Pelodiscus sinensis: one gene and its partners. The protein of the gene in region 2 binds, or shares a complex with, the protein of the main gene of each other region. Links are inferred from orthologs where the notes say so. Each region holds a gene or a part of one and is shown on either strand. Other genes may lie near its edges.

Region 1 (6,954 bases), on a different chromosome or scaffold from region 2:
TTGTATTTCATCCTATTGAAATAAATGTTTAAACATTTACATATCAGATCTCAATTGTCCAAAGAGTTACTTGGATCTATGTGGAGTACTCATATTGGCATCTAGGGAACAACTTAATTGCATGTTTGCAGGGTTAAGGCTGCTAAATAAGGGCTGTTCTCATTGTTTATGCCTTCACAACTTGAGTAATGATGAGAGCCCTAACCCAATGATAGTGGTCTGACTAAAACACTAAGCCATGGGATATAGCCTCACATACATAATATCCAAAAAATTCGTCATGTTCATCAATATGACATCTAGAGAGATCAAACAACTCACTAACAGTACAGGCAGTCCCCGGGTTACGTACAAGATAGGGACTGTAGGTTTGTACTTAAGTCGAATTTGTACTTAAGTCGGAACTGGAGTCCAGATTCAGCCGCTGCTGAAACTGACCAGCGGCTGACTACAGGAAGCCCGAGGCACAGTTTCTCTGCCCCGGGCTTCCTGGAATCAGCCACTGATCAGTTTCAGCAGTAGCTGAATCTGGATGCCTGGGACAGAGCAGCTGGGGCGCTGCCTGGTAGGTCTCTGCAGCGCCGCACCTCAGCGCTGCGGGGACCAACCGGGCAGCACCTCAGCTGCTCTGCCCCAGGTGTCCCCAAGTCAGCTGCTGCTGAAACTGATCAGCGACTGATTTCAGGAAGCCCGGGGCAGAGAAACTCTGCCTCGGGCTTCCTGTAGTCAGCCGCTGGTCAGTTTCAGCAGCGGCTGACTTGGAGACTCCTGGGGCAGAGCAGCTGAGGTGCTGCCGGGTTGGTCCAGTAGCGCCGAGGAGCGGCGCTGCAGGACCAACCGGCAGCGCCCCAGCTGCTCTACCACAAGCATCCCCGAGAAAGGCCTGGTCTGCTGGGGGGGGGCACTAGCTGTGCCCCCCCCCCAGCAGACCATGGAGACGCGGGCAGCAGGACCGAGACGCGCCGAGGTGCCGCTGCCCGGGTCCTCCGCGGCTTTGCTCTGCGTCTCCCTGGTCTGCAGACCAGGGAGACGCGGAGCAAAGCCGCGGGGGGACCGCGGCGCGTCTGGGCGTCCCGCCACCTGCATCCTCCAGGGCGAGAAAAGCCCCATTCGTAAGTACAGATCCGACCTAAGTCGGATCTGCGTAACTCAGGGACTGCCTGTACTGTATTTTCAATACGATATATCTTTAAAAAATTTAGACCAGTTTTATATTTACAGTACAGTGTGATATCAAGCTATAGTAACATAATATACCTTTACAGAAGTCAAATGTTTTGATACAATTTTAGTTGCTAAGTGCTGCAAACAACTGTTTTATAAAAATATAAACATGAGCACTGAAAAAACACCCAGAGGAAACCAGATCCATAGGCAACTGCCTTCTACTGAAAATATCATACAACTAGTCCTAAATATTCCTACCTCAGGAAATGAAAGTCAGTGTACCCAAAGTGAGTTTAGAAGCAACTAGATGACAAAAGCTGAATACAGTAAAATGACAATAATTGATGTGAATAGTGGAACATTTTCAATTGGACAGTATACTACAACCAAAACACTACAAAATATGTTTCAGAGAGCTAGCTGTGTTAGTCTGTATCTGCAAAACCGAGGAGTCCTATTGCATCTTAAAAACAGATTTATTTCACCTAAGTTTTAGTGGATAAAATCCACTTCTCAGATGCACCTATTACTCACTTATTACTTACTTTCCCAGTAACCTATTACTAAGACACGCACAACAGGAAATATTTATAACCAACTCCACTGGATTGGGAATCAAACACCATATAGGCAACCTTTTTCACAATTATTTTCAGTTTCTTAGCTTTTGCTCATAATAAACACACAACTACACCTTTTAAGGGTTGATAGTTCTGACTGACCTCCACTGTTTGGTTGATAGAGTCTCCAAGGATTGGCAGACCAAACTTCTCCCTTGTTTCTATGAGTGGGAAGCTCCCTCACTTAGGCCATGGACCTTGATCTAGACTCCCAGAGGTTATGGGAGAGTTGAGCTCTGCAGGCCTGGGGGCTCTTGGTCCCTGTGACCCGCAGTCAGAAAAGTGGGATCAGCCGGCCCAAGGGGCAGGACCTGGCAGCCCCCCAGTCACTGCGTTCGGGAGGTTATTGTAGCTGTCAGAGCGCATCCTCCTCTCCCAGGAGGCCCAGCGTCCCCGGGGAGACGCAGCGCCCCAGCGGTCTGCCCTTCGGCCTCCGCCGGGACCGGCAAGCTGCGCGTGGAGGGACGCCTACAAAACGGGGCTGGCTCCCGAGCCAGGAGCCCAGGCGGGCGCCATACTGGAAACTAAAATGGCTGCCCCGGGGAAGGGAGCTCAGTTCGGGCCGTGACGAGCGGCGCCCTCGCCTGCCCCAGCGCCAATGGACATCACCTCCCCGGCGCACCTCGGACAGGTACCGTCCCGCGCAGGCTGCCTCGGGGACTGGCAAGCGCCACTGGCCACAGCTCCCGCACCTACAGCTCGGCCCACTCGCTCCCCACCCCTAGAGCTCAGCCCCCCGTCACTGGATCCGGTGCCCCAGAGGAGCCGGCCCTCGGCCTCCTACCTGCAGCTCGGCCCGCTCCACCTCCCAGTGCGCCCTCTCCATCTCGAAGCGGGCCCACTCGTGCTGGATGTAGTGCAGGATCCCCGGGATGGTGTAGTGCTGGGGCCGGGACAGCTCCGCGCGGTCCCCCCCGTCCTGGCCCGCCGCTGCCGCCGGGACCTGGGGCTGCTGCCCCCCTCCGGCCCCCACGCAGCCCGCTGCAGGCGACACGTTCATATTCCCTCCTGGCTGCGGCGGCGGCGGCTGTTGCTGCGGTCTCGGAGCGGCCGCCATCCCGCCTCCGACTCCGGGGTGCTCGTCCATTGTTTGCGGGGAGCCCTCCTCCTCCTCCTCCGCGTCCCGCTGGGACAGGGGCGTGGGGGAGCGGCGCTGGCCGGGGGGGGAGGAAGAGGGGGCGGGCCGGGCCCGGGGAGGAGGGGGAGGCTGCGCCGAGCAGTATCCGGGTGTCAGAGCAGCGCCGAGCCGCCACCAGCCGCCATTACAGTCTCCGATCCATCTCACACCCACCCACTGCGGGGAGGGCGGGGGAGCTGCGCGGGGTGTGCCGGGAAACACCCTCCGCCGAGATCGCTGACGTGCGCATGCGCACCAAAGGTTGCGAGCCCAGGAGGAGCCAGGGGGGCGGGACTGTCTGTGTCCAGGACCCGCCCAGGGAGCCCCGAGCCGCTCCTGGCCCAGAGCTAAGTGAGTGACACGATACTAGAGACGAGCGCTGCTGGAGGCCAGTCGCTGGGGCGGGGGCTGCTTCGTCTGGCCTCATTCCGCGGCAGGCGGTTCCCTGCTCCCAGGCTGCCGGGAGGGAGCTGCGACCCGCTGCCGTTTGTTTAGAAGATGTCAGCAGCCCGGGGGGCAGGGCCTCATCCTGCCCCTCCCCCCGACACGCGCGCGCGGGGGCACGGGTCTGCCAGGTTAAAACGGGCTCGGCTCGCAGGCTGCGCCAGCCGCGGATGCCGCACATGGCTGTCGCATTCTTCCAATGCTCCCAGCCCGGGCTGGGGGCCTCCCCGCGGCCAGTTTCGCTCCGGGGTAGGCGAGGTGGTGGCGCTGCCGTTCCGCCCCACCTCGGTCACCCAGAGGCGGCGAGGGGACAAATGTAACCAGGCTCCTGTCGCCTGAAACGCAGAGCCAAAGCACGAACTCTAAGCAAGGTCCCGTTCAGTGCGAGGTTGGGGAAGAAGTTTTGACAATGCCCGTGCCCTTATGTAGCTAAGGGAAACTGGGAGTCCTCCACTTGTTGGCGTTAAAAGTGGATGGTTAGCGAGTCAGAGTGGGTGAGGTAATATCTTTTATTGGCTCCATTGCTGTTGGTGAGAAATGAGCTTTCTCACCAGAGGTCGTCTTCAGATTTGGGAGGCTTACTTCTTGCCACAGCTGTCCTGGTTCTATAGGATAAACTTAAAAAACAACAAATAGTCTGGTAGCACTTTAAAGACGAACAAAACGTAGATTAGTGATAGAAATGTAGCCAAGTGCAGTAGAAACAAACTAATGAAAGTGTATATTGTATTTTAATCTTAGCAGAAATGTCAATTTATTGAAAAGTAAATCTGAGGGTTTTAAATTATTTTTTTAACAATATAAGCTGTTACTTGTCATATAAGGAGACTTTCTTTTGAATAGGCTTATTAAACTGATAATGTGAACATTTTATATGTTTGTCACATTCATGAAGGGACCATGTTTGTTTGGTTGATGTTTTAATTTTTTAAGGCAACTTTTAAAAAAATCTCTGAATGATTTGTGATGTGTGAATCAATGAGATGGTTATTTATCTAATTCATTCAGAACTTCTCTTCATGCTAAGGAAATAATTTTAAAATTTACCTACTTGCTACAACTCGGTCAGTTTCACCAGTGATAGCAATATTCAGAGCTTTAGTGTGGGTAAGAGCAGGAGGTGTTGTGAAGTAAGAGGGAGGAGCAAGGCCAGAAAGTGTTCGGGTGAGGAGCACAACAGGGGCAGGAAAAGGCAGGGTGAGGCTGGGACCCCTGAGAGTTAGGGGTGGAGTGGTGAATCCTGAACAGAGTCTCTGTCCAATACGTTAGAAAGTCAGTGCCTATGTTGTGATATACTTCATGTGAAGGGTCAAATATAAAAATATATTGACAGGATTATTTTAGAGACTTAATCTCTACAATTTGAGACAAGTGGAAGGCAGTAAAATCTCAAAACAAGTTTCCACTAATTATCAGTATCAAGTGAAGAGTGGGAAATATTATTGCTCTTTAAAATATGGTTAACTCTGTAGCAATGGCAGCATATAATTTCGAGATCCTGATGGTTTCAGTGTGGTTTCAGTCCATTCACATGTAGTGTTCCTTGGCTGCTAATAAGCGGAGAGTGAGGTTTTTGCTCCTCGCTTCTTCCCTGACTTCCCTATATTAATAGGGATTCCTTGGTTTTGGGATTTTCTTGAAGATCAAGAATTTACAAGTTGAAGGCCATATTTTCCTCCACTAAGGCTACATAGAAGTTACTACAATCCCACAGTTGTTGTAACTCACATAATAGTATTTGAGGAGGGTGATTATGTCAAATTACTATAATTGATAACATTAATAAAGCTGCATGATACTTTACAGAGACTTGATAATGAAGTCCTACTCCCTGGTCAGATTGAAGACTTGCAGGAAAAAAAGGGAGATTATTAATGTGAATGCTCCTTCCTCACTATACATTTACTTGCTTTTGGTAATAAGATCAGAGCCAGATAGGCTGATTTCCTATGAATTCTTAATATACAATCATTTGTATAAACTTATTTGCTCTCACCATTTCATCTGCTTTTTTTTTTTCTTCCAGATTCTCGCTGCGGTCTTGCCCTTTCTGACCTTTTCCCTTCTACACCCGCTACAACTCATTCTTCCCTCTCATTCATTTAGTGTCTTCTAGACAAGTGTTTCTGAACCTTTTTTAAAGTACCCCCTTTAAAACAAAATAAAATTAGAAGTACCCCTACTACCTACCGTTTTCAGACACACACAATCTTTCTGTACCATTGCAACACATTTGTTTAAACAACTTAATCGTAGCTGGGCAGGCGATGACATTTTTGGGTATAAAAAGTACAAAAATAATAAAGCGCTGTAAAACTTACAACAAAAATTCAGTTTTCTCCAAATTTCAGTTGTGTTGAAGTACCCCATCTCCCTCCAGACTTCTCTCAAGTACCCTGAAGGGTACTCGTACCACTGGTTGAGAACACTGCCCTGACACATCTTTATTTTACTTCAGGTAAAATACATCTTTATTTTAACTGTTCAGTTTCCTGCTTTTTCGGTTCCCAAATCATCATGCATGTGTATATGTGCCCACCTAGTACATAATAAAAATACAGCTCTAACTCCAAAATACCATATAACTAAGGTCTTGTTTTCACTACTGGAGATCTCAAAGCTGCATATCATTGGGCAGTGATGCAGCAGGCATTGATTTAGCAGGTCTAGTGAAAAGCTGCTCAATTGACTGCTGAGTGATCTCCAGTTGAGCCCTATACTCCACCTCTTTGAGAAGAACCAAGTAAATTGTCTCAGTGCAGTGTGGCACAGCAAAGACACCGCAGTAAATCAATCTTAAACCGTGTTGATTCTAGATATATTATTCACATATCTGAAGTAGCATTACTTTAGTTGATTTATCCCCATAGTGAAGACAAGTATTTTTTAAAAATGGAAGGGGCTAAACCAATCAGATGTTTGTTTTGTGACTCGTACTCCTCAATGATTTATGTACTTCTGGCAAATCTTAGCCTTAGGCAACTAAATATGCATTTAAAAGCCAAACTTTAGATTTTTATGTTTGAAAAACATTGACTTTATTATGTAACAGGTTAATAGGATTTTTGACATACCCATCATCTTACACCATGGCAACAATCTCCCAGTTCCACCTATGCTGCTTGCTTGCAGTTACATGCTAATAGTAAAGTACATGAAGATCTTGGAGAAAGTGGCAGAAATTCAGAGTTGTAAACTTGAGGATCCTAGAATGCATGTACAATAGGAAAGGAAATTCTAAAGTGTCACCCACTTCTCATTACTGTAATTGCCCACAGCAAAGAGAACAGCAGCAATCTATTGAGGTCAAGGAGCACACCAACTCATTCTGAAAACACACACACCAAGAAAGAAAAATGAAAACACATTCCCTAAGCAAATTGAGAATTATTTAAAAGCCTCAATCTGTGCTTGTTCCAGGATTTTCTTTTCTTCGATAACGTGAGTCACAGTGACTGATTATGACCTATTGTTTAGATTGATGTATTACTAGTTAGCCCATAGACCAGCCAAATTTGAGTGTAATTCATTCAAATAAGTACTTACCAGTGCCAGAAGCCCAACAGGACAAGGGATAGAAAAGCAGGTTCCAAAATAAGCAATGCT
Region 2 (7,956 bases):
GTTGATACAAGACCCAGAAAGATAACAGGAAAATACAGATTAAAAAGGATGAAATTTCTTCCAGCCCTTCCCCCATACACCCGGTTCTTCCAGCTCTTCCTGTGGAAGTCACTGGGCCTGGTCAGCTGAGTAAAGGGTTTGTTACCCGTTGTGTTCGTGCCTGAAAATCAGTTGCTATGTTTAGAACATAGGAACGGCCATATTGGGTCAGACCAAAGGTCCATCTAGCCTAGTGTCCTGTCTGCCGACAGTGGCCAATGCCAGATGCCCCAGAGAGAATGAACAGACCAGGGAATCCTCACATGATCCGTCTCTGTCCTCCATTTCCAGCTTCTAACAACAGAGGCCAGGGACACCATTCCTACGCATCCTGGCTAATAGCCACTGATGGACCTAACTTCCATGAATTTATCTTTGCTGAACTCGGTAAAAGACTTAGCCTTCACAACATCCTCTGGCAAGGAGTTCCACAGGTAGATTGTGAAGAAATGCTTCCTTTGTTTTAAACCTGCTACCTATTAATTTCTTTTGGTGACCCCTAGTTCTTATGTTATGAGAACAGGCAAATAACTTTTCCTTATTTACTTCCTCCACACCAATCATGATTTTATAGCCCTTAGAATCTCGGCAAGGGGCATGCAGTGAAGAGCTTCTACCTCCCTCCTGCTGTGTTCATTTTGTTCTGGGATCTCTGTCTCTTTTCCTACATGCTGCTGATTAAGTTATGGGTGAGCTCCATTATGTCTCTGGAAGGGGTGATGCCTTTCCACTATCTCTGATTCCAAATCTAGCCCCAGATAACCGTGGTTTCAGATGTGTAGAAAATCCTCTGTAGCCATCTATCTTCTCCACGAGGCCTGACTTTCAAGCACTGTCCCAAATCGTTACTAAGGAGGACAGGTAATAAACTCTCTTTACCTGGGTTATTGTGGTTTTAACCTTATGTCCACAGTCGCTTTGGCACCCTCAAAAGCAGGAGTGTTGAACATCCTCCCATCACTGTCCCAAACTGCCTGGAAGTGACCAGTCACTAGAAAACATGGCTCCTTGGCTCTGCAAAGTTGACATCCCCTGATGCTCTGATTCTGTGATTCTGACAGGAAAGGAAGGGTTTAATCCCGCTGCTGCTGGGCCTTAGGAAACGGACGATGAATGTGAGTGTGATGTAGTCCCCAGCAGCGCTGCTCTAGGAAGGCCTAGGACTAGTCCCTCCCGGGAACCAGCTGAGCCAGCGATGGGCAACCGAGGCTGGTGAGTGGCCGCAAGATTGTTGTCACCAAGACGCTCTCCCAGGATCGGGTAGTTTTGCTCACTGCACTTGCGTAGCTAGAATGTGCGGGGGGTGCCGATTGCACCGTAGCAGCGCTGGGACTGGCTGCAGAGGGAGCGCCCGGCGCTCACATTCAGTGTTGTAGCAATCAGCCTGCTCCTCACTCGACACACACGGGCGGGTCACTTCAGTAATAGTGGTAGGGAAAAACCGACACTGACAAAAACCAGCAGAATCTGGCAGCCCTGCGTGTGGACAACAGTAAACAAAATGTCTCGTAGGCTGCACGTAGAGCCCTGATGTGCCGCAGGCTGCCTGCCACTATGCTAAGCTCTGGAAGCCTGGAGTGGGGGGGGGGGGGGGGGGGTTGGGGTTTGTCCTTTCTCTGAGCACTGGAAGAACATTTCATTTTGGCAATGGGCAGGCAGCCAGAGACCCCTGGAAGACTCACAAGGGCAGGATCAGGTCCCCTGTCTGGTCAGGCAAAATCCTGCAGAGCCCCAGTGAACTCATTTGGAAATGTCTGGAATGTGATACAACGATGCTGAATAGTCTCATTCCTCGGCCAGAGATGCTGTGTCACCGTGGACGCTGCTTTCTCCACTACAGACCTTCCCGTCCTGCTCCCAGAGTGCTTTGCAGCACTGTGAAGAAAGCGTGGTCTCCTTTTACAGCTGGGGAAACTGAGGCACGGAGCCACACAGTGACTTTGGCAAATAGTCTAATTCTGTTTTATATTTCTTCAGTCGCTATTACTGCTCTGTCTGTGGAAAGACACAAGGGGCAGTTCGCATCCCCACGGCGCTTGCAGTCCATTCCTAGCCAAGGAAGATGGTAGACAACTACTGGCAATAAACACTTTTAAATCCACCCGAGTAACTTGCCCCCAAATGCTCAAAATGAGTTGGAGATCTCTCGCCGCCTGCTGTTCGTTTTTAGTAAGTATTGGAGCCGGGGCAATTCCAGAACACTGGTAGAAAGCTAATGCTGTGTCGGTACTCAGGCAGAGCCGATACAGGACTCTAGATAAAGAATTAATGAACAGGAATATAATTAATGACAGTCGACATTGTTTTATGGAAAACAGGTCTTGACAAACAAACCTGATTTAATGCTTGGGGGTTTGAAATTAGATGCAACATATAAAGGCTTTTGAAAGGTGTTTGACTTAGTACCCCACGACAGTCTGATCAGAATTGGCAGTCCCCCGTAGTAAGAGAGCACATGTTAACTGGAGTAAGAAGTGGCTAACGGAGCTCACTCTGTAGCTGTCACTGGAGAATCACCCGCTCGGGTGTTTTGGGGGGGAGGTTGCAGCGATTGGTATTTGGACGGCTTCTGTGCAATATTTTCAGCAATGGGCTGGAAGCAGTGTAAAAGTGCTGCTGATAAAATCAGTGGCTGACACACAGACTGGCCAAGTAGCACAAGAGGTCAGGAATTCGTACGGAGCCAAATGCAATTTGCCTAGGTCTCAACAAAGATGCTAATTTCCTTACCCATTACAAAGATAGCTTCCCCAATTATCACCTCTAATATCATTAGCTCAGACATTAACCTCCCCACCTCATCCCCCCTCTGTTCTGAAATGTGATTTGTCCTTTTTATACGTGTTCACTTTTTTTGATTGTATCCCTTTGGTATATATGGTCAGGCCAATTTTCTTCCACAATTTGATCTGAGGAAGTGGGTCTGGCCCACGAAAGCTCATCACCTAATAAACCATCTTGTTAGTCTTTAAAGTGCTACATAGTCCTGTTTTTTGTTTCAGCTACACCAGACTAACACGGCTACATCTCTATTACTCTTGGAACAAGGCATGGAGACCATGGCGGATGGGAAAGCCGTGCCTTTGAAAAAGCTGTACAGGGGTCACAAGGGACAAGCTTCCAGGTGGGTGATGCTGTGGCAAACTGGGCTAGTGTGTTGTGGGGTCTATAACGGTGCTCAATGGGTGAGGAAAGAGATGCAAACAATGTTAATGGGGGGTGATTAGGGAAGTGGTGGGTTCTCCTTCTCTTGGTGTTTTCCAATCAAGACTGGAAGGTGTTTTTGTCAAACACAAGTGGAGGGGAAAATGTAATGGCTGGTACTGTGGAGGTGACTTCACATAACCTGGTGCTCCCCTCTGGCCTTAAAATCTAGGGGTTGCCCAAAGACACACACAACATCTCCATCAGAATGAAGGCGGGATCCAAGATCAACGGACAGTGAGAGAGGCAGATACAGCGAGCCCTACTGAGTTTCTTGGGGGGGGGGCCGGTTGAGAAGTTAAACTGAGATCCCCTCTGCTCGGTGTTTTTATCACCACCTTGGCCATTTGGACTGAAATTTCTGCCCGTCCAGTTCTGCGATGCCCTTCTGGCTTTCAGCTTCCAACCACAGGCAGCTGTTGTGACGGGACAGACTGAGTCCCTCTGGTTCACAAAGGGCATGGGAACCCGGCCTGAGGAAAAGTGCTGTGGCCACAAGGGAGAAAAAGCCTAACCCTGTGACGCCCTGTCTCCCCTTTCACACGCCCTGGCGTCTGCCTCGTTTCCACCACTGCCCTGAGAGTGAATCCTGCTCTGCGGTGGCCATGTCTCTAACTCCTGCCACATCCCACCTGCTGCCACAGGCCTTCTGTCCCTGGGGGCAGCAACCTCCCTCCTTCCCCTTAGTGCCCGCGGCCTTTTCACACCGTCCCAGCTGAGGCCCCAGCCTCTCCCATGAGAAGAGCCACACTGGGTCAGACCAAAGGTCCATCTAGCCCAGAGTCCTGTCTGCTGACAGTGGCCAATGCCAGGTGCCCCGGGGAGACGGGGGGAAGTGAACAGAACAGGGAATCATTAAGTGATCTCTCTCCTGTCACCCATTCCCATCTTCTGACAAACAGAGGCTAGAGCCACCATCCCTACGCATCCTGGTTAATAGCCATTAATGAACCTAACCTCCATGAATTTATCTAGCTCTATGTTGAACCCTCTTCAAGTCCTGGTCTTCACAACATCCTCTGGCAAGGAGTTCCACAGGTTGTGCGCTGTGCAAAAAAAAACCACCTTCCTTTTATTTGTTTTAAACCTGCTACCTATTCATTTCACTTAGAGACCCCTCATTCTGATGTGATAGGAACAAGGAACTTTGCCTTATTCACTTTCTCCACACCTGCCATGAATTTATAGACCTCTATCATCTTCCCCCTTAGTCTTCTCTTTCCTAAGCCGAAAAGTCCCAGTTTTTCTCTCTCCTCATGGCACCTGTTCCAAGCCCCTCATCATTTTCGATCCCCTTCTCTGAACCAAGGTGCCTTTTGTGAGCGGAGGCGCCCACCCACCTGCAGGCAGCATCCAAGCTGTGGGCGAACCGGGGCTTCATACAAGCTCCGCTCTGTCCCCTTTGAAGCGGCGCCCACTGCTCCTTTACCCTCCCCTGGCTGCAGCTTGTCCCCCAGCCCAGGGCCAGACCACATGGTCTAGTGGTCACCCCAGAGTGTCCTCTCCCCCCAGCCCCGCCCTGGCAGCCGCTCACGCAGCCAATCGGCGCCTAGGGGTGTGTCCCCGGCGGAGACAGCCAGCCAATGGCAGCGCGGGGGCGTGGCGAGTCCCTGGGTGGAGGGGGGGGGGGGTTCAGCCTGCACGTGCTGGCGCGGGCAGGGCAGAGGGGCGCATGGAGGAGACCGGGGCGGCCAGCAGCGCCCTGCCCGGGGACGGGGCGCCCGGCAGGGGGAGGCCGCTGCAGGCCAAGGGGCGGGAGCTGTTCAGGAGCCAGCGGAAGGAGTCCGAGGTGAGAGAGGGGGGGCACCCACCCCCCGTCCCTCTGGGGGACCCACCCACCCCCCCGGGCACTCAGCCCCCCCGGGAACCCACCCAGCCCCCCCGGGCACTCAGCCACCCCCCGTCCCTCTGGGGGACCCACCCAGCCCCCCCGGGCACTCAGCCACCCCCCGTCCCTCTGGGGGACCCACCCAGCCCACCCGGGCACTCAGCCACCCCCCGTCCCTCTGGGGGACCCACCCAGCCCACCCGCCTGCCCCCCCTGGGAACCACCCAGCCCCCCCGGGCACTCAGCCACCCCCCGTCCCTCTGGGGGACCCACCCAGCCCCCCCGGGCACTCAGCCACCCCCCCGTCCCTCTGGGGGACCCACCCAGCCCACCCGCCTGCCCCCCCTGGGAACCACCCAGCCCCCCCGGGCACTCAGCCACCCCCCGTCCCTCTGGGGGACCCACCCAGCCCCCCCGGGCACTCAGCCACCCCCCGTCCCTCTGGGGGACCCACCCAGCCCCCCCGGGCACTCAGCCACCCCCCCGTCCCTCTGGGGGACCCACCCAGGCCCCCCGCCAGCCCCGCCTGGGAACCACCCAGCCCCCCCGGGCACTCAGCCACCCCCCCGTCCCTCTGGGGGACCCCCGCAGCCTGCCCCCCTGGGGATCCACCCACCCCCCCGTCCCTCTGGGGGACCCAGCCAGCCCCCCCGAGGGCACCCAGCAGCCCCCTGGCCCCCCCCAACCCCGCCGGCGGAGGGGCCCGCCCCGTCCCGGGGAGCTGCTGGCGGGGGTCCCGCGGCTGCCCTGCGCCTCCTGCCCTTTGCTCGCAGCCGCGCGCGGGGCCCGATCGCTCCCGGGCGGGCGCCTCCCCGGCTCCGGCGACAGGTGCCTGGGGCGCTGCGGCTCCCCGCGGGGCCCGGGCAGGGGGCGGCCCGTGGGGCGGGGAGGTCGGGGCCGCTGCGGGCTCCCCTGCCCGGCTCGCTTTGCAGCCCCCGCCCGGAGGCGCGGCCGGGCCGGGACGTACAGGAGCAGCTGGGGTCGGCGCCTTATTGCAGCCTCGCTGCAGCTCCTGGCAGCCTGGTGGGGGAGGGGGGCTCAGACAGCAGAGGACTGAAGTGGGGAGGGACTTGTCAGCCCCCCCCCCCGGGAACCAGCGCTGCACCCCCAGATCGGAGGGGCGCTGGAGGAGGCAAGTTTTCTCCTCCCGCACCTAGTGGCAGGGCCATGAGCTGGCACCGGGGTGGTGGGTGCACCCTCGCTCTAGAGATGCACCGGCTGGATGACGCCTGCTGCGTAATGAGCCCCCCGGGAAGTGGAGATGGGGGGGGGGACCTGTCAGTCTTCTGCCAGGTTGGGGTGCTGCCTCTCGCCAGGCACTGGGAACCTGCCCTCCTCCGGTGACTTCATAATTGTTCATTCCGGGGTTTCTTCCTCCGAAGCGCCGGGCCGGGGCACTTGGAGCGAGGCTGCTGAGTAGATGGATGCGGGCAAGCCACAGGTTGGGCGATTGCTGCCGAGATCGTGAGCAGCATTCACACTTGGCTGCATGGGCGACTCGTGGTAGCACCCAGGAGGAGCACTGCCCCCCGCCCACAGGCCCCTGTCAAAATTCGGATTGCTAACCGGGGTGTTCCCTCATGCCCCCTCCTTGTTCCTCTGGCTGGCTCTCCCTGCACTCCCTCCCTCCCTTGCGCTTGATGGAGCCTGCTGGATGCATGGCAGCTGGAGAGACAGTCCAAGAGTTTATGCTGCTGACGGGGCACGGGGGCAGATGCGCATTGGAAGGATGCACACGCCAGCGTTGGGGCTTGCCAGACCCGCCAGCTGGAGCGTAGATTTTAAAAGGAACCGGTAGCGTGTTAACAAGAGGGGGTCACTGTGGGAAGGATTCCGGGAAGGGGGGGGCGAGGAATTGACGGCCATTGTGTGGGATCAAAGACGGGTCCCTCTTCCAGCATGGGGGAGAGCGACGAGGCGCTCGTGGGGGAAAGAGCAGGAGGGCGGAGAGGGAGGCCGGAATGGCAGAGGGCAGGGTCTCGCTGAGATTGATGAAAGGTTGATTTCACAGGTGCAGGAAGGGACCGTATGTCTAATAGTGCAGCACCAACGTCCTGTTCTTCCCCCCCCTCCCCCCGCAAAAGCCAGCCTGGGCTGGCTGAAGGTAGCGCAGTGGGGCGGGTTCTCCGGGGGCCTCACGGGTAAGTCAGCAACCTCCGGAGCCTGGGATGGAGGATTCGAGTTCCCACCAGGCTGACGCTCTTCGGGGGCTCTCTAGCTCTGATTGGGGGCATCTCGTCTCCGCGGCTTCTCTTCGAAGCCAGCACTGAGCCAGAGCGGAGCTCAGCCGCTGCTCCGATTAGATCTGGGTACGAATGTGATGGATGAGAGATGCCGGACACGCCGGGGTGATCCTGCGTAGTGAGAGCTCGGTGCGGAGAACATTGGTGGACGATAGGACGCGGTCTCTGAATAGTCTCGTTCCTTCGGCTGTAAAAACCTGCCCTATCTGTTCTCTGGCGTTACGGGTTGGAAACTTTAGTTTAACCATCGCTGCTCCTCGGGCGTGGCCCTGGCCAAAGTGCAGGTGAGGCGTCTCTTTCCAAGGCGCACCCCGGTGGCCTGGGCAGACGGTGGAATTCTGGCCTTGGGACACAACCTTTCAATCCGTTTTCGGGTCAGAAGTGCAGCGGTCGTTTTGGTTTAGCCGTCTCTGCCGGGGGGATTAACGTTTGCAGGCGCCACTACTTAGCCGAATTCCTCTAGAGCTTTAGTGCGCCGACCGTAGATGGCCAGCGCGCTGGATTTGGTCCCCGCGTTGGTTGTGTGCTGTCGAGGCTCCCTGACGGCGTGAGATCAAAAGTCAGAGCTGGAAGGGAGGGTCAGGCAGAGCTGGGGGCGGGGAGAGACATCTCCGTTCTGTTTTTGGCTCCGTTACTGACCTG
Region 3 (7,337 bases), on a different chromosome or scaffold from region 2:
AGAATGATAATGGGCCCCATTGGAACGTTTGAGGAGGAGAAAGGGTACTATCCAAGAGCAAGGGCCTGCATGCTGGCTACAGTTAATTTTGCACAAAAACCTGTGGAGCATCCATACCTCAAGTGCATTTTTGTGCAAGAAAATGTACAGCAGAAGGGCAGAACAGAGGGCTTTTTGTGGTGTAGGTATACCTCTTTCTACGAGGAATAACTCCTTTTTGCACAAGAGTTCTTGTGAATGGCCATCAGAGATTTCTTGCGTAAGAGTGTTCCTACAGTGTGGATGCTCTCTTGCGCAACGGCACATCGCTTTGCGATGTGCTTTTGAGGTGTGGACGTGCTTTTGCACAGGAAGTTTTTGCAGAAGATCTCTTCTGCAAAAAGCTTCTTGCGCAAAAACTCTGCAGTGTAGACAAAGCCAAAAAGTACTGCCTAATTCATATGAGCTCAGTTCTCTAGATCTGAGCAAATTTGGGTTATGGAGGTGTCAGACAATGGAGTAAATTTTCAGAGCAACTGATACATCACAAGAAAGAACCATTTTGGATAAAAAGGCATTTTAGACCTACTGTAGATATGCACTGTCATAGGTTTTACCCATAACTATACATGAGTGCAGGGTACTAAGTACAGAGGAAAGTCACCTGAAATACTATTTTTCCTTCCTTTCAAACATGAAGCAGAATTGCCCATCACAGAAGGGAGGTAAAGTAAGGTCAGGAGGTTCTGTGGCAGCTAAGAGAAATAACTGGAGCTGGACAATTGAAAAATCATCCTCAAGAGGGGAAAATCATCGCTAAGGAAGACTAAACCCAGGAGCAGGCTCATATCTTAGGGGATGGAATAACTGTAAAAAGAAAAAACATCACTGTGTCTGGGTGTTTACCAAGGGGGACACAGTGGAGATCAGCCAAGTGTTAAGTTCGAACAGAAGAACGAAAGCTGGGGGTGATCGTTATGTTGGAGGCAACTGGTCAAGTGGAGAAACTGAGCCACAAGAAGGTGAACAGTGGCTTCCCCATACCAGCAATGCAGCCGGTGAAAAGAGAGGACGTTGCCAACTTTGTATCCTCCTCAAAGGAGGCTATGGAAGAACTGTGGACTACTAGATGAACAAATCAAAACATAAGACTTGCTTCGTTAGATGTTTCCAGGATGTCAAATTATAAACCCACCAAACTGAGTTGAATACAGTGATGCCTGTACAAAAGGCCACAATTCCTAAGCAATTTCTGTCTCAAGAGGATCTCCAATAGCTATTGCAGACATCTCCTCCTTCATTAAGAGAGCAAATGCCACGGAAGAGCAGAACACAGTGTCCTCCTTGTTGATAAACAGCATCCTTGGGGAAGGACAAGTGGGTTGCCGCCCGGGGCCCCCACATGGTGGGGAGGGGAGAAGGGTACACTTCACTGAGGCCCAGAGGTCCAGGCTGCAAATTGTCATACATATGGGAGGGAGGCCTGTGTTATAAGTTTGTACTAGGCCCCAAAAAATTATGCTTGGCAAGCAGCATGGGAGAGCGGTGCTAGCACACTGCAGTGACCCCCATCAGGTGAGCTTGGGGAGGGAAGCTGAGCCGAGCCTCATCCATGGGCCTGGCCAAGGAACCCCTGAGCCTTGGTCAAGTATGAAGGAACACAGGCCCTCATCCATGGGCCTGCCAAGCAAAGGGCCCACAGACTTGGTTCCTGCAGGGGGAGGCCCACTTTGGCAGAGGGGCACCAGGTGGGTGTGAAGGTCTGGGCCCTGTTCTGAGGCCCCCGGCAGTAAGGAGTATGGGGGGAGGGCACATTGAGAGCCGGGGGATCCATCTCCTGTTCCGCCCCAGCGATCCCCAGCTCCACACTGCAGGCTCCATCCCCCGTGCCCTGCAGAGACCCCCAGGTCCATCCCCCGTGCCCTGCAGAGACCCCGAACTCTATCCCCACAGGCTCCCCCGTGCCCTGCAGAGACCCCCAGGTCCATCCCCCGTGCCCTGCAGAGATCCCGAACTCTATCCCCACAGGCTCCCCCGTGCCCTGCAGAGACCCCCAGGTCCATCCCCCGTGCCCTGCAGAGATCCCGAACTCTATCCCCACAGGCTCCCCCGTGCCCTGCAGCGACCCCCAACTCCATCCCCACAGGCTCCCCCTCCACCGTGCCCTGCAGAGACCCCCCCTCCATCCCCACAGGCTCCCCCCCACCCTGCAGAGACCCCCCCTCCATCCCCACAGGCTCCCCCTCCACCGTGCCCTGCAGAGACCCCCCCTCCATCCCCACAGGCTCCCCCTCCACCGTGCCCTGCAGAGACCCCCCCTCCATCCCCACAGGCTCCCCCCCACCCTGCAGAGACCCCCCCCCTCCATCATAGAATCATAGAATAATAGGACTGGAAGGGACCTCAAAAGGGCATCGAGTCCAGCCCCCCGCCCTCAAGGCAGGACCAAGCTCCACCTACACCACAGGCTCCCCCCCTGCCGTGCAGAGACCCCCCCCTCCATCCCCACAGGCTCCCCCCCTGCCCTGCAGAGACCCCCAGGTCCATCCCCCATGCCCTGCAGAGACCCCGAACTCTATCCCCACAGGCTCCCCCGTGCCCTGCAGCGACCCCCAACTCCATCCCCACAGGCTCCTCCTCCACCGTGCCCTGCAGAGACCCCCCCCTCCATCCCCACAGGCTCCCCCCCTGCCCTGCAGAGACCCCCCCCTCGATCCCCACAGGCCCCGCCCCGCAGAGACCCCCCTCGATCCCCACAAGCTCCCCCCCGCCCTGCAGAGACCCCCTCGATCCCCACAAGCTCCCCCCCGCCCTGCAGAGACCCCCTCGATCCCCACAAGCGCCCCCCCCACCCTGCAGAGACCCCCCCTCGATCCCCACAAGCTCCCCCCCACCCTGCAGAGACCCCCCCTCGATCCCCACAGGCCCCGCCCCGCCCTGCAGAGACCCCCCTCGATCCCCACAAGCGCCCCCCCCGCCCTGCAGAGACCTCCCTCGATCCCCACAAGCGCCCCCCCGCCCTGCAGAGACCTCCCTCGATCCCCACAAGCGCCCCCCCGCCCTGCAGAGACCCCCCTCGATCCCCACAGGCTCCCCCCCCGCCCTGCAGAGACCCCCCGTCGATCCCCACAAGCGCCCCCCCCGCCCTGCAGAGACCCCCCGTCGATCCCCACAAGCGCCCCCACCGCCCTGCAGAGACCCCCCGTCGATCCCCACAAGCGCCCCCCCCGCCCTGCAGAGACCCCCCTCGATCCCCACAGGCCCCGCCCCGCAGAGACCTCCCTCGATCCCCACAAGCGCCCCCCCCGCCCTGCAGAGACCCCCCTCGATCTCCACAGGCCCCGCCCTGCAGAGACCCCCCTCGATCCCCACAAGCGCCCCCCCTGCCCTGCAGAGACCCCCCGTCGATCCCCACAAGCGCCCCCCCGCCCTGCAGAGACCCCCCTCGATCCCCACAAGCGCCCCCCCTGCCCTGCAGAGACCCCCCTCGATCCCCACAAGCGCCCCCCCGCCCTGCAGAGACCCCCCTCGATCCCCACAGGCTCCCCTCCCCCCCTGCCCTGCAGAGACCCCGCTCGATCCCCACAGGCTCCCCTCCCCCCCCGCCCTGCAGAGACCCCCCTCGATCCCCACAAGCGCCCCCCCCGCCCTGCAGAGACCCCCCCTCGATCCCCACAAGCGCCCCCCCCGCCCTGCAGAGACCCCCCTCGATCCCCACAGGCCCCGCCCTGCAGAGACCCCCCTCGATCCCCACAAGCGCCCCCCCTGCCCTGCAGAGACCCCCCGTCGATCCCCACAAGCGCCCCCCCGCCCTGCAGAGACCCCCCTCGATCCCCACAAGCGCCCCCCCTGCCCTGCAGAGACCCCCCTCGATCCCCACAAGCGCCCCCCCTGCCCTGCAGAGACCCCCCTCGATCCCCACAAGCGCCCCCCCTGCCCTGCAGAGACCCCCCTCGATCCCCACAAGCGCCCCCCCGCCCTGCAGAGACCCCCCTCGATCCCCACAGGCTCCCCTCCCCCCCTGCCCTGCAGAGACCCCCCTCGATCCCCACAAGCGCCCCCCCCGCCCTGCAGAGACCCCCCCACAGGCCCCGCCCCGCCCTGCAGAGACCCCCCCTCGATCCCCACAGGCCCCGCCCTGCAGAGACCCCCCCACAGGCCCCGCCCCGCCCTGCAGAGACCCCCCCCCCCGATCCCCCAGGCCCCGCCCCCCGTGGGCGGTCCCGGCTCCACCCCGCGCCCCGCCGAGCGGACGGAAGGACGGAGCCGCCGCAGCCTCCCGAGCCCAACATGGCGCCGGCCGCCGCGGCGCCCTGAGCCCCTCCCGCCATGGGCAGCGCGCGCCGCAGCCGCCGGGACCGGGCCGCGCGCTAGGGAGCGGGCCTCTCGCCCCGCCTGGAGCCCGCAGCGCTCGGGCCCGGCCGCCATGGCCCACTCGCCCGTGGCCGTGCAGGTGCCCGGCATGCAGGTGAGCGGGCCTGCGCCGGGCCGGGGCCGCGCGGGGGGGAGATGAGCGATTCCTGGCTCTGGCGGGGGGGCCTGGGCTGTGGCTGGGGGGGAGCAGGGCTGGGGGGGGAGATGAGCAGTTCCTGGCTCTGGCGGGGGGGGGCAGACACAAGTGGGGGGGTTGAGGGGGCCAGACACTGGTGGGGGGAGCGGGGGGGTTGGGGGGGCCAGACACTGGTGGGGGGAGCGGGGGGGTTGGGGGGGCCAGACACTGGTGGGGGGAGCGGGGGGGTTGGGGGGGCCAGACACTGGTGGGGGGAGCGGGGGGGTTTGAGGGGGCCAGACACTGGTGGGGGGAGCGGGGGGGTTTGAGGGGGCCAGACACTGGTGGGGGGAGCGGGGGGGTTTGAGGGGGCCAGACACTGGTGGGGGGAGCGGGGGCCTGGGCTGTGGCTGGGGGGGAGCAGGGCTGGGGGGGGAGATGAGCAGTTCCTGGCTCTGGCGGGGGGGCAGACACAAGTGGGGGGATTGAGGGGGCCAGACACTGGTGGGGGGAGCGGGGGCCTGGGCTGTGGCTGGGCCCCCCATAGCACTACAGGGGCTTTGTTTGGAAGCCACCTTTCATCCCGCAGCACCCAAGTGCGTTTGAAGGGTTAAAAGAGGCCTTGCTATGTCACCTGCTGCATGGGTGTGTCTGCAATGACAGGCCATGTCAGCCCAGCTGGCCCGGGTACACTGCCTGGCGCCAGCCTGTGTGGAGGGTTCCCCGGGGGGCGCGTGGTGCATGGAAAGAGATGGGGAAGGTGAAGCCCCGCCAGCTTACAGCGAGTTTGCTGCTGTTCAGAGTGGTCCTTCTGTTGAGAGTCTTGTGGCTGGCACCAGACTGGGAGCCCCATTTACAAATGGGCTTCTGTGTGTATTTGTTGCTGCTGTTGACAGTTTTTGCTTTTTGGATACACTGAAGTACCTCTGACATGGTTCCTCTTTCTAAGGTCCTCAAGCAGATTTAGGGTGGGGTTCTCACCTAATTCTAAAGAATTAGGCACCAGATGCCCATTTCAGTGGCATTTGGGCATCAAACTCCTTAAGTCTTGTATACATTGGGAAATTAGGTTGATGTGACTAATATCTGTTAGGGGTATTACACAGCCACGCCCCAGAGCATTTCAGTTAACCATTCGAATGCCCCTGGTAGACAGCAGGAGGCCAAGGGCAGCTGTGTCTGCCTAGCTGCCATCTGTTAGGGAGGGTGGAGCACCTCTACCCACAGAGAACCTCCCCTGTTGGTGAAGATAGCGTCTTCACTCAGTTTGTGTAGACATATGCTATTTTCCTTTGAAAACGAGTCTTGTAACTTTTCCCAATGAGAGTGATGATCCAGAATGTTTTCAAGACAAGTCATTTCAGCCCTGCACTGCGATGTCCTATTTTTAGCATATCTCAGTTCTTGTAAAAAAGCTTGGGTTTTGTAAAATAAACAAAACAAATTTGTGCATTCCTAGTTATCTAATTTTTCTAGTAATATCTGTTCCTCTTTTTTCCTCTACCTAGTTTAAATGTCAATTACTTTTTTACACACCACTCTACAAATTAAATAAAAATAAAAAAAGCAAATGAATTTTTCTGAGACCGTGTATGTCCATAAACTCTGGAGGGCTTTGTGCCAGAATCCTAGGAGGCACAGCTACAACTAAAAGTACCAAACTCTAAAAAATAGAAAATACAATTTCTGTTTGAGTTTTTTTTTCTTCATTTTGCAGTCATGCCTGTGAAATCAAGGAAGAAATTAATACAACAGCTTTTAGGATGAAAATTGGAGAATTCTGTGTAGAGTAAAGGGAGATTTCAAAACTCCTAGTAACAATATTTTGAGTGTGATTAGATGCAGCTTGTAAGTATTTATGGAATGTTTACCCAAACACTATAATTGTGCCCTTTCCAAAAATGGTGAAGGCTAATGAACTTTCAGCAAAGTGGGCCGGGCTAATGATAACATTTGTAAGGCTAAAGTTAGTACCGTTATTTCTAAAGATCTGCACCATTTCTGTACTTCTTCTGAAATCTCTTGAATTTGTCCTTTCAAAGTAATTGCATCATCAGTTTTCTATTGTGCAAACAGACATCAAACCCACACTTTGCTATATCGTTTTAACTTGACAATACACTTTATTTCCACATTATATCAATGTTGATGATGGTACATTTTTAAAAATTAGAAGCAAGTGAACTTTTTTGGAAAATGACTGAGAAATCTTAGTCTAAGCCTTGTTTTTTTAGTTACATCCCTGGTGTGACTTCTCTTCAGAGAATTTTCCTGTATTGCTTTGATAAGTATTTTGAACACTTTCTGTGTGTAAATTCCATAATCTGGTTGTCCATTTCTTCATCTTAAAAGTTGCTCTGCTATTCATTTTCTTGAGCTGCCGTCTACTCTAGGGATGTGAGCAACTAGTCGACTATCCGATAAGCAAATGCTTATCCAACAGTCAACATGCTAGTCAACTAGTCGCTCCCCCCCCCCCCCCCCCCTTCCCCTCTTGCTGCCTCTATCAGAAAGAGGCAGAAAGGAGGGAGGAAGAGAACAGGGTGGTTCAAAATGGCAGTGCCCTAGGGCTGTTGCTACATTTCAAAGGTGGAGGTGCTCTTATCGACTAATCGAATAGTTGATGCAAATTGCATTGACTATTCAATTAGCCAATTAATCTAAATTTAACATCCCTAGTGTAGTCCAGACAGGACTCTGACATTATTTAGAGCACCATTTTCCAATATTTACCTTTACCTTTCACTTCTGCATTTTTAGTTTAACCCAGACCTTGTTGTGCACATGTAGACTTAAAGCACGCTTTCCTAAAGTATTAATAAGTACATTTGCATAGGATTGAGGTTTTCTGCTTGAGACTATTTTTTGT

What was found.
Region 1: STRIP2 (region 2) and STRN3 share a complex: the UniProt entries of both Homo sapiens proteins name them as parts of the core of STRIPAK complex. The link is inferred for Pelodiscus sinensis from reciprocal best matches to the Homo sapiens genes STRIP2 and STRN3.
Region 3: STRIP2 (region 2) and STK26 share a complex: the UniProt entries of both Homo sapiens proteins name them as parts of the core of STRIPAK complex. The link is inferred for Pelodiscus sinensis from reciprocal best matches to the Homo sapiens genes STRIP2 and STK26.

What each region holds. Positions count from the first base shown.
Region 1 is NC_134714.1:51,159,723-51,166,676, reverse strand, and holds the start of STRN3 (striatin-3), read right to left. Parts: upstream 3,066-6,954; 5' UTR 2,875-3,065; coding exon 2,572-2,874; intron 2,419-2,571; exon of another isoform or gene 1,890-2,418; intron 1-1,889. UniProt on the Homo sapiens protein: Calmodulin-binding scaffolding protein which is the center of the striatin-interacting phosphatase and kinase (STRIPAK) complexes.
Region 2 is NC_134711.1:4,396,630-4,404,585, reverse strand, and holds the start of STRIP2 (striatin-interacting protein 2), read left to right. Parts: upstream 1-4,876; 5' UTR 4,877-4,915; coding exon 4,916-5,032; intron 5,033-7,956. UniProt on the Homo sapiens protein: Plays a role in the regulation of cell morphology and cytoskeletal organization. Required in the control of cell shape. Calmodulin-binding scaffolding protein which is the center of the striatin-interacting phosphatase and kinase (STRIPAK) complexes.
Region 3 is NC_134723.1:45,941,765-45,949,101, reverse strand, and holds the start of STK26 (serine/threonine-protein kinase 26), read left to right. Parts: upstream 1-4,272; 5' UTR 4,273-4,405; coding exon 4,406-4,447; intron 4,448-6,292; exon of another isoform or gene 6,293-6,307; coding exon of another isoform or gene 6,308-6,316; intron 6,317-7,337. UniProt on the Homo sapiens protein: Serine/threonine-protein kinase that acts as a mediator of cell growth. Modulates apoptosis. In association with STK24 negatively regulates Golgi reorientation in polarized cell migration upon RHO activation.